2 linked regions of the Caenorhabditis elegans genome follow. The protein of the gene in region 2 purifies or fractionates together with the protein of the main gene of each other region. This does not show direct contact. Each region holds a gene or a part of one and is shown on either strand. Other genes may lie near its edges.

Region 1 (3,819 bases), on a different chromosome or scaffold from region 2:
GACAGTGGTTTTCTTAAAAAAAAACTTCGTACCTATAATTAAATTCTGATACCTCAAAAATTGAAAAATCGACCACACAACAGCTTCAGGACCCCTGAGGTTTTCAAAAACTTTACAAAAATTTACCATACTTTTAAAATAAGTATCAGATTGTTTAAATATTCAAATAACATTTAATTATGTAATTTGATGAAGAAGAAGTTTTTCTCTGAAAGATTCCTGGTCACGAAACATTTACAATTAACCATAAATCAAAAATTCAAGTCAGAAAAGTACTTGAACACGACCTTCTGGAGAAACGATTTCTGAGAAATAAGGAAATTGGGAAACTTGTGTACCCCGATTGATCAAATTAGCAGGTTTGTGGAAATGTATTACATCAACGATCAAATGTTTATCGGCGTGAAACAACTACCGCGCGGCTCATTTTATTGAACTTTTTGGCGAGTTCAGTCACATTTTGAAAGCTTTTACTTCTGAGTTTCATAAGTATGTAGTTTTTTGGAATATAACTAAATCTATTGGTTTCCAAAAAAATCTACTTAGATTTGGTAGAAAGTTCAATTTTTCTAGATTTGTTAGGTCGTCACTAAGTTTGCAAAAATAGCATAAATTTATGACATTTTCGAAGTTTGTTTGCATTTTTCTCGCTTCGGCAGCTAAGAAGCCACAGACAAAACACAGCAGGATACCTGATTTCTACTGCGGTGTAGTAGATTTCTGGTCAAATTAGAAGTCGAACAAATTATGAGGATCTACTTTTTTCAAACAACTATTCGAACTGAATCCGCTGAGTTTCTTCTAGCAATTCCTACAATTGTTTTTTTTGACATGTACCCCAAACCTTTGATTTTCAATTTTGACTTCATCTTCAGCACCGACTACTCTTAGTCCTTTCTTAGCCCGATAATTTGGATCAAACGTTACTTTTAGGTGGATAAGAAGCTCAATTTTTTTGAATAGGCCCTTGTTTGAATAGAATTAAAACCAAGTTTTTGTCCAATTGATAAATTTCCAGCTGTTGAACCTAGGATTCTGAAATGTTGAAATAAAAAGGTTTCTGTAAAAATTGAAGAACTAATTGTAAAGATTTTTCTGGTAAAGCCTCTATTCCGGACAAAAAATCAGGAAAGATGTGGGGTCCCATTTACTTTCCAATTAACCCGGGAAATGTCCGCTGCAAGACATCAGTTTTTTACACTTTTTTGCCGTATTGTTTTGCATCGCCAACCTAGATGATCATTTGATCTGTCACAAAACACATTTCCCTTTTTAAATGTCCCTAATCACTAACACAGCATTTAGCATTACATCGAAACTCCAAGTCAGAGCCTCCTAGAAAAATAAATTTCCGAGAAAAAAAAATTGAAAACTCCGCACCTCAAATTATCAAATTAGCAGGATTACGGTGGTATTACATCAACGATCAAGAATTTTTCGGCGCGTCCAACTCTACCGCGCGGATCATTTTACATGCAAATGGGGCTTTGAACTTTTAGGCTCTGGTTTTCTGGCTTTTTAAGGAATTTTTCTTGTAACGCTTAGCTTGTGAACACTTTCGGAATTCCTATCGAAACCTATTATATTAAACATCTTCCAGGAAACCAATGGCATGGCCAGACAACAACACCTCAAACTGCCGGGAAACCTACTCCTATTTTGGCTCGGCAGACTATCTGCGCAATGCATATCATTTCACAGCACTTTTAACAGTTCCTCTATCCATATTCACATTTTACACAGTTATAACAAAGACGCCAAAGCGGATGAAAAATATGAAAATCCCACTTTTAATATCCCTGGCTTGGAGCACAAATCTCGATTTGATGTTCACAGTGTACTCGGGGCCGTATATATTTTTTCCGAGTGCCTCCGGAGTACCCCTTGGGCTTCTAGGATATTTGGGAGTAGGTGTCAAGTGGCAGTCGTATTGGGGACAGGTTTCCGTCACTAGTAAGTTTTAGGATCTTTTAGGAAATTTAAATATAAATTTCAAATACCACATGTTTTTCAGTGATGGGTGTCTGTTTTATAATGCTCTATGAAAATCAACATAGTCAAATTTCCACGATTCGATTCAAAATCAAACGGAGAAAAACTCGTTTAACATATTTCGCATTAAACTATTTATTCACATTTGTTGTTATGCTTCCATTTTATCTAGACGACACTGACCAATTGAAAATGAGACAGAAGGTCTTGGAGGTTAGTAAAATGTACTAAAATGCCCATTCAGAGATATTAGAAATGTTCAAAAAATTTTATAAAATTTTATATTTAAAGTCAAAAATGTGAAAACTCTCAGTTTTCACATATCCTAATTTTGGAAGTCGACCAAAAGATTTTTTTTGAATTAATTGCGTTCTTATTAATAATATTGAAACATTCTAGGAGTTCAGATCTGCGGGAATTTTCAATTTTTTTCAAAAATGTCAATTTTTGAATAACTAAAAACTTTTGAAGTGTTTATTATATTTTTCGGTCGTGTGTATTTAACACCCGTCTTCAAATTCAACTTAATTTTACAGAGAATCCCCTGTCCGACGAGCGAATTCTGGGACCCAAAAACCTATGTACTGCTGCAGGGCGGAGAGGTCTTGCCATTCTGGTCAATCACAATTGGTTTTGGATTTGTTATTTTCCAAACTTTTTTCTTTTTGTTACACACCGTTTATCACCTCACACTAGTATCAAGTGCCAAAATATCGGCGGCGACGAAGAATCTTCAGCGAAAGTTTCTGAAGAATGTTTCTATTCAGGTGAGTATAACTATAACTGAAAATTAACTGGAATAGCCAAATGAAACTGCAAAAAAATGCAAAAAAAATTTAAATGGGTTTGTTTCAATTTTAAAAATTTAAAAATGTTTTTGACAAATTGAAAAACCACAAAATTTTTAAAATTTTAAACATTTAATTCTAGCATGTGTTTTTTTAGATCTCAATTCCATGGATTGCCATTGCATTTCCTGTGGCCTACACTATGTATGCAGACAAAATGAATTACTATAATCAAGGTGAGAAAGTGCAAATTATTTAAAAAAGCCAAAACATGGCTAACACGTTCCAAACTTTTGCAGCCTACAACAACAACGCTATGCTAATTATGGCAAATCACGGACTTCTATGCACCTGTTGCACCCTTTTTATTTACAAACCATACAGAGATTTCACTAAAAGTCTGATCCCTGGACAACGATTTTCACAACGGAGAATGACTATCATCGTGGAACCTGTGACGTCTCCACATGGAAGTGTGTCTAATTAGTTTTTTTTAAATTTTCGTTTTATTTGCCAAGCAAGATTTTTTTACAAATATTTAGTAAATATGTTTTTTTTGGACAAAACTTGACTATTTTCACTCGGGAAACAGATGCGCATCTTGCTAGTGAGAGCCATTTTGGCAATTTTGGCATATTCATCAATTTTGAAAAATTTTGGCAATTTCACGAATTTCAGCAATTTTGACAATTTATCCATATCGGCAAAGTTGTCAATTTTGGTAATTTCGATAACTCTAGGATTTCTGACAATTTTTTTCAATGTTCGCAAATTCAAACTTTTTGGCAGTTTTAAAATATTTGGGCAATTTGGACAAACTTAGAACTTTCACCAATTTCAGCAGTATCATGAATTTTGGCAATTTCGGAAGTTTTTTAACATTTTGGGCAGTCTTGGCAATTTAAGATTTTTGAAAATTTTCGGCATTTTTGAAAATTATGGCAATTCAGGTAACATTGCCGATTTCAGTAATTTCAACAATTTCGAAAAATTGTCAAAAATCGAAAAAAAAAATTTTCAAGTATCGAAGCGTGTGAAA
Region 2 (3,821 bases):
GGATCTTTGGTAAGTTGGAAATATTTCTTTACTATTTGAGATAGAACAAAGAATCATATTTAAATTTCAGGATGAAAACGGATGTGTAAATGTCAAAGTAGTTGTCATCGAGAGACCAATCATCCGAGATAAACTCAGGTTTGATTCGTTTTCAGAATGAGCAATTGATAAGTAAGTTCCAGACCGATTGCTTTCATTGACAGTGTATTGTCTGCTCATGTGAAGAGCATTCTAATCAATGTCCTTCATGAGAACTACGAAGGTCTACCAGCGGAACAACTGATCAAATCAACTAATGTTCTTTTTGCTTTCCTTGATAAGAACGGCGTACAGAAACTTCGACGTGTTCGGAAAAGTGACGTTGATCACTAACAGTTTTACAATTTACCAAAACTGTAAGTAATCATATTCCTCTAGTCCTGATAAATATGCAACAAACTTTATTTCAGCCGTGGCAGTGTCGTTCTGGTTCTGGATCTGATTGGCTTTGTCGAAAAGGGGAAGAAGATTCCAATTCAAATCGACATGGATGAAGAATAAAACTTTGCCATTTTATTAAAACACCTGATAAATGAATTATAAGGCACATTTTGGGAACATTTGACAAAAAAAACAACACCAAAAGAAAAATTTCGAATAATAGGGATGCTCGAGGACGGGGAATGGGGAGCAAAACAAAGAACAATTTGATATACTATAAACCAGGGGACTGGGAAATTGAAAGCAGAGAAAGTTGGGATCACAGATTATTTTATCAGTTTAATGGTACTTGCAAACAGATGGCACTGTGCATCCGTGCTTCTTGATGATTTCTTGAGCAGCATAAGATCCACAGGTGACTGAAGCTTCGACTCCCTTTCCTTGGATGAATTGAGAAAGGAAACCTCCGACAAAAGCGTCTCCGGCACCGTTGGTATCGACGATTTCTTCCTTTGGAAGACGAGTTACTGGGAATTCGGTGACCTGTAGATTAAAATTGAAAACAATAAATTCAAAAATTATCAAAAACTCTCACCTTATCTCCTTCCACGACGATGACTGGCTCTGGTCCTTGAGTGAAAACAACGAGTCTTGGCTTAGTAGATTTCTTTGGAAGTGCAGCAGCCTTCAAAGCGATCTCCTTGACACAGGTGGTCTCCCATCCATTGGCTTTAGCAAAGGCAGCAGCTTCGTCTTCGTTTCCGAAAAGAACATCGACCAATGGAATGATTTCCGAGAGCTTATCGAAGAAAAATTGGGAGATGAACGGGGCGGAGAGGTTAAGGGTGAAAGTCTTGTTGAATTCGGCAGAGTGGCTTGCGAGTTGGAGAATAGCTGGTGGGCAGACAGTGATGAAGAATCCCTGAAAATTTTACATTGAGAATACTTTTGTGCTTATTTGTAAATCAATTCGATAACTTACAGTGACATAGAAATATTTGGCCTGCTCGATGATCTTCTGATTCTCCTCCTTCTGGAGATGATCTTGAGTGAAGGTGTTAGCAGCAGCCAAATGAGCACAGAGTGATCTGAAATCATTTCAACACGGCAACGATGATTTTTCTGTCCGTCAAACAATGATCCGCTTACCTATGAGTTCCGTTGATGAGGGCTGCGCAGGTACCGGTCTTAACTGTCTCGTTGATCTGATAATGCACATTCACTCCAGCTTCTTTGGCTTTCGATGCCAAAAGATCTCCGTACTGATCTTTACCAACAGCTCCAAAGAAAACTGTTCGGTTTGGTGCGTTCAAAATCCATTGAGCAACACGGAGCGAATTCTGTGCGGCTCCTCCTGGAATGTACTCGACTTTGAAATCTCTGGTAAGCTCGGTGAACATGTCATTGTGCTTGTCGTCGCAAAGAATGGCGTCGTTTTCTTTGAGTCCCCATTTGTCAAGGAATGCCTGTAGATTTCAGCAATTAAAATGAAATATTTTTGAATGTGCTTCTAGATTTCTAGAGAAATCAAAAACTTACCTTTTCAACGGTGGTTTGAATGTCCAACAATGGATTGCACATTCCGATGAGGGTGTTTTCTGGCAGAGGAGACATTTCCGTGACGTGAGGAGATGGGATTACCTGCAGATAGACAATTAGAAAATGAAAAGTGAGAAAAAGGCGAGTTTTGAACGAGTAAATAGACATAAGAGAAAACAAATAAGAAGATTGGCAAAGAAAGAGTGCGAAAAAACCGTTTTCGTGCTTTTTTGAACACGAATAACGCTGTAAAGCCAAGATATTTTGTGTTTTAGGACAATACATTTCCACGAAATCCACGTTGTAATTTGAAATTCCGGCCGAAAGACATTTTTGATAAACAACGATCGCATGGGATATCGGAGTGTCGTTGCAACGTGTTTTAAGATTTTATCGATCATAAATCTTTGCTGACAGAAGCGGAAAGTTTTTAAAACACCGTTGCTATCTTAAAAAACATGAACGTTTAAAAAAACCAAGAATAAAATTTGCAAGTTTCTAAATGTGGAAGTACCTCCTTCAAACACAAATTAGTGAATGCTATTTTGAATAATATTTTGAATAATATATTAATAATGGCTGATTGTTTGATGAATACTGTGTATTTCTTTTCCAATTCTACGATTTTAAAGTGGGAAGCAGTTATGCGGAATGGTCTCGCCAAGAGCCGTCTATTGATATATTTTTCTCAATCAATGGCTGGCGCGTGGCGAGACCAATCCGCATAAATGCTCCTCCCTTTAAAATCGTAGAACTTGAAAAATTCATAGTAAAAATACGATTTTCGAAAGTGGGAGCGATGAGTTTCCAGAAAAGTGAACGATCAGGCGTGGAAATTCAAATGTAATAAGATAACTTATTAGAACTTGGACAAAAATGAGAATGAGTTACACACAAAGTACACGATTCTGATGAGAAATGCGCCTTCCAACTAGCCTATCTTCTATTTTATCGTCCATTACTCCCCAGTCTGTCTGCAGTTTCTAAAAGATCTCCGCTATTTCGTTATCGGTTTTTTGACCGGCAAATTGTGACACTGATAGTATCTACCGATATGCCATCTAGCCTCAGAACAAGAAAAGTTGGCTAACTTGCGGTGGTGGTTTGAACGAGACAATTTACAAGTTATGTTCAATTTAGAAAACAATTTTAGTTGTCAATGGCTTTTAAACCTAGCAATTACATTAAAGTCTATTGCAAACAGTTTAAAATTGAAACTAAGCCTGAATAAACAGACACAGTGCGTAATGCAATTTTCATGTGGAAGTTGCAAAAAAGATAGAAAAAAGAGAAGAAACTACAACGGCAACTGTTATGAAAAAACCGATTGATTTCCATTGTGTTCTATGAACAGAAGGTGTCTCCTGCACATAAGTTCTCAAAATGAGAAAAATTTTCGAAAATGGCCTGATTGAAAGTTGATAGTCGATCAATTAATGATCTATTGGGGTTTCTATGTGGAGTAATATAGAAGTTGTACTCATATTTATTGGCAGTAGTTAAACAATTACCTATATACTCCGAAAAGTAAAAACTACAAAGTTTTTTTCGTACCCACGTTGTGAGTTGATACTCAGCTAATAGGTGAATTTTCATATTCTCCTTCACTGCACTATTCACTATATATATAATAGATAGCCGTTATAGAGCATTATTTTCTATGAAAATTAAACATTTAAATCTTTTTACTTATTGTAAATAAATACTTTTAAAACCTACGTTTTGAAGAACTTGCATATTTCAATTAAATGAAAAAACGTGTTACAGATTTAATATTGCCACTGGAGATTTAGTCTCAATAAACTCCAAGTAGTCTAACATGGCCGCACATTAGTAAATTGCCAAAATTGGCCAAAAATGCG

Evidence for each region. The genes of interacting proteins can lie anywhere in the genome.
Region 1: the proteins of adk-1 (region 2) and srh-56 fractionate together in Caenorhabditis elegans (co-fractionation; one large-scale study listed by BioGRID). This does not show direct contact.

What each region holds. Positions count from the first base shown.
Region 1 is NC_003283.11:2,770,253-2,774,071, forward strand, and holds srh-56 (Serpentine Receptor, class H), read left to right. Parts: upstream 1-1,607; coding exon 1,608-1,953; intron 1,954-2,014; coding exon 2,015-2,205; intron 2,206-2,528; coding exon 2,529-2,759; intron 2,760-2,937; coding exon 2,938-3,016; intron 3,017-3,079; coding exon 3,080-3,267; downstream 3,268-3,819.
Region 2 is NC_003282.8:11,208,771-11,212,591, forward strand, and holds adk-1 (Adenosine kinase), read right to left. Parts: upstream 2,062-3,821; 5' UTR 2,035-2,061; coding exon 1,960-2,034; intron 1,887-1,959; coding exon 1,570-1,886; intron 1,509-1,569; coding exon 1,403-1,508; intron 1,343-1,402; coding exon 1,016-1,342; intron 964-1,015; coding exon 760-963; 3' UTR 539-759; downstream 1-538. Other genes in the region: R07H5.9 (Kinesin motor domain-containing protein), read left to right, coding at 1-9, 71-138, 183-372.